Linked DNA regions of Neurospora crassa OR74A. The protein of the gene in region 1 interacts with the protein of each later gene in a pairwise test. Links are inferred from orthologs where the notes say so. Each region holds a gene or a part of one and is shown in the gene's direction. Other genes may lie near its edges.

The links.
Region 2: the proteins of rad23 (region 1) and NCU05292 interact in a two-hybrid assay, tested with the Saccharomyces cerevisiae proteins (2 studies listed by BioGRID). The link is inferred for Neurospora crassa OR74A from reciprocal best matches to the Saccharomyces cerevisiae genes RAD23 and DDI1.
Region 3: the proteins of rad23 (region 1) and NCU05363 interact in binary tests that used the Saccharomyces cerevisiae proteins (3 or more experiments, as listed by UniProt). The link is inferred for Neurospora crassa OR74A from reciprocal best matches to the Saccharomyces cerevisiae genes RAD23 and RPT6.

What each region holds. Positions count from the first base shown.
Region 1 is NC_026503.1:4,431,842-4,435,847, reverse strand, and holds rad23 (rad23-like protein), read left to right. Parts: upstream 1-1,204; 5' UTR 1,205-1,627; coding exon 1,628-1,645; intron 1,646-1,875; coding exon 1,876-1,923; intron 1,924-2,104; coding exon 2,105-2,177; intron 2,178-2,240; coding exon 2,241-2,320; intron 2,321-2,382; coding exon 2,383-2,727; intron 2,728-2,787; coding exon 2,788-3,375; 3' UTR 3,376-3,875; downstream 3,876-4,006. UniProt on the Saccharomyces cerevisiae protein: Plays a central role both in proteasomal degradation of misfolded proteins and DNA repair.
Region 2 is NC_026504.1:5,438,500-5,442,424, reverse strand, and holds NCU05292 (DNA damage-inducible protein 1), read left to right. Parts: upstream 1-1,402; 5' UTR 1,403-1,676; coding exon 1,677-1,678; intron 1,679-1,748; coding exon 1,749-2,335; intron 2,336-2,415; coding exon 2,416-3,146; 3' UTR 3,147-3,402; downstream 3,403-3,925. Other genes in the region: NCU05293 (rRNA processing protein Rrp8), read right to left, coding at 3,598-3,925. UniProt on the Saccharomyces cerevisiae protein: Aspartic protease. Appears to act as negative regulator of constitutive exocytosis. May act at the level of secretory vesicle docking and fusion as a competitive inhibitor of SNARE assembly.
Region 3 is NC_026502.1:1,421,552-1,425,736, forward strand, and holds NCU05363 (26S protease regulatory subunit 8), read left to right. Parts: upstream 1-1,344; 5' UTR 1,345-1,644; coding exon 1,645-1,879; intron 1,880-1,970; coding exon 1,971-2,905; 3' UTR 2,906-3,674; downstream 3,675-4,185. UniProt on the Saccharomyces cerevisiae protein: The 26S proteasome is involved in the ATP-dependent degradation of ubiquitinated proteins. The regulatory (or ATPase) complex confers ATP dependency and substrate specificity to the 26S complex.

The sequences.
Region 1 (4,006 bases):
AGATACCACCTTTTCCTCTTCTCCTTCTTCTTCTACTTTCCTTCTTCTTTCCTTTGTATTTTTCATATCTTGGGGGAGGGGAGGAGGATTTTGTTTTGAGGACGTGAATATGATACCTTTGATTGCGAGGCGTTGGACTTGAGTTCCATACCTAAAGATGGGTCTTGGATAGGTGGGATTTGTGTATAGAAAAGCTCGGCTATGGTTGGATAGAAGGATGGCTAGATGATGGATGGATTCAGATAGATGCTTCTCTGCGCTATGCGCGAGACGGACGACTGAAAGATGTAGCGGATGAGAACCGAAGAAGTCAGAACAAAAGATCGTGCCCACGAAATATGCGCGGTGACATTGAGCTGTGATTTTCCATCTAAGCTATGATGCTTAGACGTCCGACCATGACTGCGATGGAGATGTAGGTAGCTTGGAAGCTTGGGAATGGTGATGAGAGAAACCAGAATAAAACGATGTCTGGCTCAAATCATGTTTGCTGCCTTGAAAAGTAACCCCAATGCTACCGTTCCGTCGTTTTTGCGATGATAACCGAAGGGAAGGTTACTCGTAGTCAATTCAATGTCACGATCCACGTCGGGTCACGAACGTGACGGAGGCCTTATCTTATCTGGTGCTCTTTCCAAGGGAGCCTACCAATGCGTATGATTGGTACAGATGGAAGGTGTTCTTCAGCCCCATTTTATACGCGCTTATGAGTGGAGATCTATTACCTAGTATTGCCGTGACACTGCCATAATCAGCGATGACTTCATCTTCTTCATCGCAAAAAAAATTCAAATAGAATAAAAAGAGATGAAAGAAGATGGGTCCTTTGGATTGGCTCACAGCATGACATCAAACATTCCCCTTTGATTTTGCATCAACTTCCATCGCCAACGGAAGCATGTGGTTATCAGTTCAGTGACATTCAAAAGCAAGACTAACAAAGAAAACCAATTCATGTTTTTCAACGCAACAAGGCCAACACAACCTGGAAAGTGAATGGATCCATGGGATCAATCAGTCTGTGTTGTGTGTACAGACGGACGGGATGGCAGCGTGACGACTGTGACCTCTCCACCAGCTCCAGGCGGCAAGATGCCGCGCAGCCCCCCCCGCCTAACAATGGCCGCTGCCTTGTGCCTGTCCACTGCACTTTGCCTGCCGCTTCCCCCCAGCCATTCACTGCCGTAGGTAGCACACCGTGAACCTGGCTACCCGCCTGCTGTGCCCCTCTTCCATTCAGTGCACTCAGGTGAAGCGAACAAACCCCAAATTCTCCGCCTCAAAGCTGCCTCATCAGTCATCACAAGCCGCTGTAAAACGTTCAAGCTTCCCTGCTACCTTCCATATTTCTTGCCACAGCGATTACAACTATCTCCTCCCCTGTATGCCACCTCGCCATCTCTGCGGCAGCCTTCCCACACACATCAACCTTACCACAGCAACCAACTAACCACTTCCACTTTTTTTCCTCGTCCTCGCCCAACTCCGCCGACTGCAACAAATCTTGCTGTCTCCCATCGCGACTCGGAACCCAACGAAGCTCGCCCGTCCGGACAGACTTTACTTACATCATCAGACTCTCAGTGTCAACGTAGCAGCCGTTTAGCTGCGTCGCAGATTGCCCATCATGAAGGTTACTTTCAAGGTACGTGCCCATAAGCTTGCCCATGTCGAGTGTTTGACGTAGCCAGCCAGCCAGCCAGCCAGGCAGACAACGAGCCAGACGTACCGCGATGGCTTCTCAGCAAATTCGGAAACAACCCAGCGTCTTCTTTGAATCCTGTCTGCCTGGTTGGATCAGAGCTCGCTCCCTCTGTCCATAAGCTCTCAAAGTCTATATAGTCAAATACTAACAATGACTGTTCGTTCATCTAGGACCTCAAACAACAAAAGTTTACGCTCGAGATCGAGCCTACCGAGACTGTTGGTTACCCTTCGTCGCCTCCCATTTCCTTACACCCTTTACCTCAGGCCGACGTCATGGAGACATCCAACACGCCGTGACAGCCCTCGACAATCGAATGCTCTGTCGGCGTCGCGAGCCTCCCATGTCGCTTCGGGAGACGTGCATGATGCTGGCGAGCTAGAAGCTAACCGGTTGCAGATTTCCAAGGTCAAGCAGAAGATCTCCGAGGAGAGGGGCTGGGCTCCCGAGCTGCAGAAGCTTATCTACTCCGGTAAGCATCGCTTGCTTCTCAAACGATGGATACCGCTCCCGAATACTGACTTTACCCCAACAGGTAAGATCTTGAAGGATGAGGAGACCGTCGAGTCGTACAAGATCGAGGAGAAGGGCTTCGTTGTCTGCGTCGTGAACAAGGTACTATTTCCCCCGTTATTACTCACGTCCTTGTACAAAGATGAAGCTGACACTTTGCGCAGCCCAAGACCACTGCCCCCAAGCCAGCCGAGTCGTCGTCGTCTGCCGCTGCCCCCGCTACCCCCGCTGCCGCCGCCCCGGCCTCAACACCTGCTCCCCCTGCCGCTCCCGCGGCCTCCAGCGCTGCTGCCGCTGCCCCTTCGACGCCGACGCCCGCTAGAACCGCTGCGGCTCCTGAGGCGGCCCCAGCTGCCGGTGCTCGCGATGCCAACGCCCTTGCCATGGGCGAGCAGCGCGCCGAGGCCATTGCCAACATGGAGGCTATGGGTTTCGAGCGTTCGCAGATTGACGCTGCTATGCGTGCCGCCTTTTTCAACCCCGAGCGCGCTGTGGAGTATCTCTTGAACGTACGTTTCACAACTCATTCCACTTTCCGATCTATGTCTGGTTTACTGACACAGCTTTAGGGTATTCCCGCCAACCTCCAGCAACAAACTGCCTCTCGCCAGCCTTCTGCCGCTCCGGCTGCTGCCCCTGCTGCTGCCGCTCAGGCGGCTTCCCCCGCTGCTGCCGGTGGTGATGATGACGATCAAGTCAACCTTTTCGACCTTGCCGCTCAGCTCGGCAACAGCGCTGGCGGACGTGGTGCTCGTGGTGCGGAGGGTGCTGGTGCCGAGGCCGCTGGTCTTGGTAACCTCGACTTCCTCCGCAACAACGCGCAATTCCAGCAAATGCGTCAGCTTGTACAGGAGCAGCCCCAGATGCTGGAGCCTATCTTGCAACAGCTCGGTGCCGGCAACCCTCAGCTTGCCCAGATGATCGCCCAGAACTCGGATCAGTTCCTGAACCTCCTTGGCGAGGGTGGTGAGGGTGGCTCTGTCGGTATTGCTGTCACAGAAGAGGAACGCGATGCCATTGAGCGTCTCACCCGCCTGGGCTTTCCCCAGGACCAGGCCATCCAGGCCTACTTCGCTTGCGACAAGGACGAGGAGCTTGCCGCCAACTTCCTTTTCGATCAAGGACCGGAGGAAGATGACGACATGCCCCAACAATAAATAGGGGTGAGACTGTAGGCTGGAATGAGATATTTTTGGGTTTTTCGTAACTGGGCGTTAAAAGTCGTTGGCAGGGTGGATTTTCGTTAGCAGCTGCCTTTGCATTTGAAATGTGGGCGACGGCTGGATGGTTTGGGCTTGCTTAGGATGCATTGGAGACTTTATGATGACATTATACCTTAGGGAGCTCAAAATGCTCAACACTGCTGATCAACGTTCACATGCAATATACGGGTGGGCTTTGTGTGTCTGATCTATCCACTGCGCGACAGGTTTCGACGAGTTTTAGTAAGGAAGCATCAAGAGTGAATGGGGTGATGACACTGAAAAAAATGCTTCGCGGAGATCTAGATCAAGGATAACTACAGAGGTGTGGTGTTTTCACAGCTTACGAATCACTCTATTCTTTATGTACTCTATAGTCCTGTCCCTTGAAGAGTGAACGAAGCATTCCCATCACGAACCATAACCAGCAATGAAAACGAAGATAAGATCCGAGACCATGAAACCGTCCGCATACAAGTAGTATGATCAAGAACCCTTTTTTTTTGTGTGTCTCCATTTGTTTTTCCCTTCCCTATTTCCATACCTAACTAAGTGCCCCTCCGGTTGATGGGTATATAAAACCTAT
Region 2 (3,925 bases), on another chromosome or scaffold:
ACCTATGTATGTACCTACCTGTTCTCAAACGGAACGTCCAGCCCCAATGAAAGTCCCGATGAATGGTATGTACATTCGGCTTAAGGAAGTAAGCCGGAGTCTGGACTGGACTTCACACCGGCTTTGGCGCACGACATCTCAAAACGGGCCAACCTGCCTGCATGAACATGGGGACTTTTGAGACTTGACAAGCCGTGGCGGCCACGGAACGCTGTCAGATACCGAAGTGGACTGAAGGGCAGATGGGGCTGGACGGGTGGGAAAAGCCTTTGTATGCGAGTCATCGGGGCAGGTTGTCGGGATACCTCTAGTTTAAAGGTAGGTATACATCGGAGCTCGGAGGAGGGCCGGTGGACTCTGCCTAGGTTGTTTAGGAGCTTCTTAGAAGTCAACTTGATACAGACCTTGACTTCAACTGTCGCAATCTGATAAGATGGAAACTTCAAAGGAATCATGCAACTTGGGAGCTTGTCCGTGAATTCATACAAACAAGTACCCAAAAATGCTCACCTAGTATCCTTATATAGATAGCACAAGATCAAACAATCATAGCTGCTTATTCTAACCTGGGTATTCCTGTCACCTCAACAGAGAAGTCTCCACGTACTTCCGACAGCTTCCATTGTGCAATTCCTGTAAACAGTTCAAAAAGAGCCAGGTACAGCGTGACAGTTCCAAATTGGATCACAAGCAGAAACCACTGTGTCGTAGCGTGCATAGCACTTACAAGACGATCAAGGTTTGTATGCCCGTCCCGTTTTAGCTCCAGGAACCTGTCACTAGGAACCACTCTCCTGTGGGAACTTCCGAATTGAGCCTCACGCCGTTTCGGCAGATTCGCGAGCATCCACTACTGGAAGCGGAGAGCCTGGCATGCTGGAAGAAGACAAGTCACCCAGAAATGGTTCCCAAAGAGGAAAACACATGACAGTTGGCTTCAGTTCCCCAAGTGAAGCGGAGTACGGAGATACTTTTTTGAAGTTGTCGAGGAAACAAATACGAAGAAGCAAGACGTTGTCATGTCCTCCCGATCGAAACTGGATTTGTTTACATACATGACGGATCGCGATGCTTTCACCGGGCCAACGTAGGTAGTCCTTACAAGTACCGTCCAGTTTTAGCTCCACCAACGGGGAGCTTCCATTCATGTCATCGATGGAGCTGCTAATTGGACAGTCCGATTGCAGCTACATCTTTACTTTGGCCAAGTAAGTACCTGTTGATTCTGGACTTGTACTGTAGTGTATACCTAGGGCGCGGTCAACTGCTACTATTTTCAGGTTACAGTGGTAGCTGTAACACGAACTGGAGCGTGTCAATTGCAACCAACAGTCAGTCCAGGATCCTTGCATAAACAGTCCAGAAAGCTGCGGACGGCTTGCCCCGGACCCACTGGATCGCCCGCGTGCCTGCCTGCCCCAGAGCCCCTCAATAACTGCCACCCGCCCGGCCGCCTCCCTTCACTTTCTGGAATCTTGAACTGTACAATTACTCAGCCTTCTTGCCTTTTTTCCGTTTGTAAACAGCTTTAGAATTCCGCTTCTTCCTCGTTTACACTTTCTCTTCTCCCCCCACTCCCTCATCCAGGCACTCTTCTAGGTTTGGCCGGTGACGCCATCTCTCCAACATCTACTTCCCGCGCTCTTGCTGTCCCGCCTAGGACGAACGACGTCACCATGTAAGCTGATGACAAAAGACAACGAACTGAAGTCGTCACTCCCATAGTCGCTAACTTGAGTCTCTAACAGGCAAATAACCATCGCCATCCAGGACACGACGGGAGACGATCAAGACTTCCTCTCCCTCCAAGTCTTTCCCGACATGACGCTCGAAACGCTGCGCAACTCGATCCAGGCGGAAACCAGCCACCACCCCAGCACACAACACCTCTACCACAACGGCAACCTGATCACCGACAACTCCAAGACCCTGACCCAGCTCAACGTCACCGACGGCGACATGCTGGCCCTCCACGTCCGCGAAACACAACGGGCCACGGCGGTTCCCGAGTCACAGCAAGGAAGGCCAGCGGCGCCCCCTCAACAAGATCCCGAGTTTTTGCGTCTGCAGTTCCTGGCGAATCCGGCTCTGCGGGCCGAGGTGGAGAGGACAGCCCCCGACTTGGCGGCCGCTATCAATGACCCCCAACGGTGGGCGCAGCTCTTCCGGGAGAGGTACGACAGGGAACAGAGGGAAAGGGCGGAGCGTCATCGGATAATCCAGCAGTTGAACGAGGATCCGTTCAATCCGGAGGCGCAGGCGAGGATCGAGGAGATCATTCGCCAGGAGCGGGTTACCGAGAACCTGCAGACTGCTATGGAGCATAATCCTGAGGGTAAGTGAAAGCATAGAGTCGGAGGGTTACCCTGTTGTGGTCGGGAAGCTGCCGCTAACTTCGTTTGCTGTTGTTTGCAGTATTCGGTACCGTACACATGCTGTATCTGGATGTTGAGGTAAACGGGGCCAAGGTCAAGGCCCTCGTGGACTCCGGAGCTCAAGCCACGATCATGAGTCCCGACATTGCCGAGGCGTGTGGTATCATGCGCCTGGTCGACAAGCGGTACGGTGGTATCGCCAAGGGCGTCGGAACTGCCAAAATCATTGGTCGTGTGCACACGGCTCCTGTTAAGATCGGCTCGCTCTTCCTGCCATGCAGTTTCACCGTCATGGAGGGCAAGAATGTGGATATGCTTCTCGGCTTGGACATGTTGAAACGTTACCAGGCTTGTATCGATCTGGCCAAGAACGCGCTCGTCATCCAGGGCGAGGAGATTCCCTTTTTGGGTGAGGCGGACATACCGAAGGCGACGGAGGAGGCGCTTCAGGATGAGCCTACGATTGAGGGTCCCGGCGGCACGACCATCGGCCAGCGTACCGGCGCGGTTTCGGGACCTGGTACTGCACAGCATCGCCAGGGTCAGGCTGGTCCGTCTACTGCTGCACAGCCAGGTCCCTCTGCTCCCGCTCCCGCTCCCGCTTCCGCTTCCGCTCCCGCACCTCGAGCGCCTCAAGCCCGGTCTTTTCCCCGGGAGCATATTGAGCAGCTTGTAGCACTCGGTGCTGATGAGCAAAAGGCGATTCGGGCTTTGGAGGCGACGGACGGGAACGTTGAGTATGCGGCCAGTTTGATCTTTGAGGGGTTCTGATAAATTAAAGGAAGTTGGGAGTTGTTGGCATGAACATAGAGAGCATATATCTGCTTTTAGTGGATCGGATGGAAGCGGCGCAAATCCATGTTATTTGGACGTCAAGAGTTGAATGGACAGTAAAGATATGGTATCGATGTTATAGTCATATGGGCAAGCAAGTAAAAGATCTCCACAACCATTGAAGCGTTCTTAAAACCATGCTTCGCTGCTTGACCAGTTTAATCGGACCCGTTCAATCGAGCTGTAAATACGATGGGACTTGTAGTAGTATAACATACGGACCAGATCGGTATTGACAAGGTCTGTAGCATACAACTACATAGGACAGAGTACGTACCAAGCTTACATATCAATGTCAAGATGAAGTGTGTGTTCAAAGAGGAAGTAGTTCATAAGCCTTTCCATTAACTGACTATTCGTACTGAATCACACACACACATCCGTTCGTCTACCTGATCTTGTACACACACGGCTTCAGAAGAGCGTTCTCGTTGAAGGACGCCTCCTCGTCGGCATCGATGAACTTGGGCGTCTTGATAGGCCGCCCCTTGGCATCCGTCTGCGTCGTCTTGAGCGCCTCCTTCTTCAGGTCCGCACACTTGCCCTTGATGGCCGGCATCGCCTTGACAAAGTGCATCTTGACAAACATTTTGTTATCCATGTCCACCGCCTTCTGGCCATACTCCCTCTGCAGGAGGAATCCTCTCTTCCGCAGCGCCTCCACAAAAGCAGAGACATCCGTCTCCTGCTGCCGGAGCTCCACACCATCCACGTGG
Region 3 (4,185 bases), on another chromosome or scaffold:
TTATCAACCTCAAGGACCCCAAACACCGAGTTGTACAATAGTACTAGTCCTTGCCACTTTTCTCTATTATAAGCACGTAACCATCTCTAGCGACACTCTGCTGCAGCACAGTATCAGTCACGCTGAATGACTTGGATCCAAGTCGCCATCATGATGCCTCGATCCTTGGCAAGTATTGGCGCATCTGGAACCAAGACGGGAACGGCGCGAGGGAGGATTTGATGTGACCGCCGCGTGCACCGGTTGGCCAGCACGGTTCGCTGCCATCATGATGTGGAGGGTGAGAGAAGGCAAATGGTCTCTCCCGGTCGACGCCGGTCTCAGGTCATCATGGACCGTGATGGATGACTGATCCTAGGTTCACCACCAGGGTGGCCGGGCTTCGGTGCCCTGCTTGGCTTGCCGGGTTGACAACCCCCACTCCATCAGCTGAGCTGATATCGCAGGGCTGCCTCACTTCTCATCAGAGGTATATATTGAGTATCACCATGTTGAACCGCGGCGGGTAAGAGGAAAGCACGGTGTAGCATGACTGCGACGGGTATAAAAACGGGTATACGTACGCACTTCAGGACGGTATGCGTAAAAAAATGATTGGTCATTCTCATGGTGGAATAGAGTTTCCTATGCCAAGCGACCGTCCTCTCTCTCATTCACCGAGACTCAACCTTGACTTCGAACCACAAAAATGGTGATCAGTGTTATTTCGGCTTGGAGAAGGCAAAAACTATCTCAGTCACACTGGAGGGGCAAGTTAAGGATCGCTCATATAAGAAGCCACCTGATACCTTAGCTCCCTAGGTAGCCGCCTGAAGAAGGGGTATGTAGCTGAACGACGGGCAGGCTCATGGAAATGAAACATGTGCAGTGTGACATGTGCAGTGCGCCCTCCCTTCAGTCCCATCTATACAGGCTGACGGGCAGTTGGAAAGCTTGAGTAGGAGAAATGAGAATGGGAACAGTAGAAGACAAAAGTAAAACTTGAAAGACGCAGTGCAGAGCGAGTCCTCTCTTATGCTGGATGACGAGCATCTGCAGGGAAAGGTGAGTATGCGTGCTGGTAGCAATCGTGACGGGACCGCGCCGGAGCATGACGAGGACTTTTTTGGAGTTTGGCGAGATTGGATACCACAACCCAGCACTGCACTGCAGCATGTGGAGTCGACGACGCAGCTGGAAGTGACATCATTTCAAAGGGCATCCATCTTCACCTTCAAAGCTCCCCTGCAAGTCTGGAGCCACGAGGTCACGTGTAACCCATCAAAGCACGAGCCTCTGCCGTTTATCGGTACGTACCTTATCCTGACATGGCGCTCTGATACCTAGTCTAGAGGCGGGAGCTGAGTCTTGGCATTGGGAGCCGGCCGGGTGTGTTGCGTTGACCTGAAGCTGCCTGTCTTCAGAAGGTCACCGAACGCCATCACCACCTCCACCCGGCCATTTCACCACCAGTAAACATCACCACCGCAACCCGCCACCACGATCGAGTGTCTGCGCATCGCAACACACAACTAATCTCGACGAGCAAGCGACGACCGAATACCGACCACGCACCCAAGGGCAAACCTATCCCACCTTACACAAAACAAACAATCACTAATCCCCCCCCGCGAGAGCTCCGTCTCTCCCCCACACGCCGTCACCATGGCGCTCGACAACTATTATCACAACAAGATCGAGGCCATGAAGCTCGAGATCCTCAAGGGCCAAGCCGTCCTCCGCCGTCTCGAAGCGCAACGAAATGACTACAACTCGCGTGTGCGCCTGCTCAGGGAAGAGCTCGGTCTGCTACAACAGCCCGGGTCCTATGTGGGTGAGGTCGTCAAGGTTATGAGCACAAAGAAGGTCCTCGTCAAGGTACACCCTGAGGGCAAATATGGTATGCGCACTCCGCCTCCTTCTGGAGTGTCCTGTTTTACGGATGGGTAAACAGATGGAAGTAACTGACCTATTGCCCCGCCGCCTACCAGTTGTCGATGTATCCGACAATGTCGACATCACCAAGCTCACCGTCGGCAAGCGCGTCACCCTTCTCTCAGACTCGTACAAGCTCGAAAAGATGCTTCCCTCCTCAGTAGACCCGCTCGTGTCCCTCATGATGGTCGAAAAGGTGCCCGACAGTACTTACGATATGATTGGTGGTTTGGACCAGCAAATCAAGGAGATCAAGGAGGTGATCGAGCTCGGCCTCAAGCACCCCGAGCTGTTCGAGTCGCTAGGTATCGCCCAACCAAAGGGTGTCCTGCTCTACGGCCCTCCCGGTACCGGCAAGACCCTGCTCGCCCGTGCCGTTGCCCACCACACCGACTGCAAGTTCATCCGTGTCTCGGGTTCCGAGCTCGTGCAAAAGTACATCGGCGAGGGTTCCCGCATGGTACGCGAGCTGTTCGTCATGGCGCGCGAGCACGCGCCCTCCATCATCTTTATGGACGAGATCGACTCCATCGGCTCTTCGCGTGTCGAGGGTTCGTCTGGCGGCGACTCCGAAGTCCAGCGCACCATGCTCGAGCTCCTCAACCAGCTTGACGGTTTCGAGCCCACCAAGAACATCAAGGTTATCATGGCCACCAACCGTCTCGACATTCTCGACCCCGCCCTCTTGCGCCCTGGCCGCATCGACCGCAAGATCGAGTTCCCTCCGCCGAGCGTCGAGGCCCGTGCCGACATTCTGCGCATTCACAGCCGCAAGATGAACCTGACGCGCGGCATCAACCTGACCAAGATCGCCGAGAAGATGAACGGGTGCTCGGGCGCCGAACTCAAGGGTGTCTGTACCGAGGCCGGCATGTACGCCCTCCGCGAGAGGCGCGTGCATGTCACACAGGAGGACTTTGAACTGGCCACGGCCAAGATTCTGAATAAGCATGATGATAAGGAGGTGTCGTTGGCCAAATTGTGGCGTTAAGTCTGCCCGGGGAGGGGAAAAGTGAAGGAAGAGTGGTGGTTTCATGCGTGCAACGATATGATACAGAATACAATAGTACTTTTATGGGAAAAGTAACTGACTCAGCTTTTTTTTACTTTCCTTGGTGCATCACTCTCAAGACTGCCTTTGTCGTCTGCATAGGCTGTCTGAAAGTGTATCGTTTTGTACATTCCAAGATTGAAAGCGGTCCTTGGCAACAACGGAGTATACCTACTCTCTCCTCTAGCGGAATCAACAGAATGGAGATGCAAACATTACCGTTGACTTTCAGACGTATCCTGGGCCCTGTTGCCGCCTTGACTCTGCACTAGGTCATTACCGGATTTCAGAACAACGGTCACACGAAGACGAATATCATGCCGAAACTGAGAGTAAATTGTGCATTGGAATGGCGTCGGTCTCTCGAATGTCAAATGGTTATTTGTAAGCTGCGTGGCCATCCGTGAGGAAGTGGCGAACCCTCATAGTATCTTGAACTACAGTTTCTGTCTTTCAGGGACAACTACAACCTGTAAAGCCGCGCCGGCACGAAAGACAAATACCGAGACGAAAGGATATTGTGCTCCAAGCTACTAACACAAAGTCCCAGCCAAACTCTCACGAAACCGCGCCATGCAAGAACTAACTTACAAACCACAGACCAAAACGAGACGCCTATTCACATGCAAGTTTTCAAGTACTCCAAACACCAGCAGCAGTAATACTTTGAGCGAAGTTCAGGTGATGGCAAATGGTTCATGGTAATGGTAACAATGGAAAACGACAGGAAAAGTGCAGAGAAGGGGGTACTGGGAAACTTGAGGTATACGTAGACAAACGTACGACAACGACAACAACAACAACAACACACACCCAAAAAAAAAAAAAAAAAAAAAAAAAAAGGCAACAACAACGTAACAAGATGATGACACGCTCTCCCACCAACCGGCCAGCCAACCCAAAAATATGCTAGTAGTAGTAATAGTGGTAGTAGTAGTAGTAGTAGCAGTAAAGGAAGACTTTGATCATCATGCCATCTTCATCTCTTCGTCCCTTACTTCCTCGGTTCATCCGTCCATCAGTCCTTTCTCTCTCTCACTCTCCTTCTGTCGCTGTGTGGTCCACCGCCGTGTTGTAAATGGAGACAACAACGGATCAAGAACCATATAATGTATCTATCCCATCCCTTCCATCCCGTTCCATATCCATTCCATTTCCCTTTCCGTGCCAAAATGCTCTTTTCTTTTCGATCTGTCTATTCGCCTGCACCGAAGCCCCTT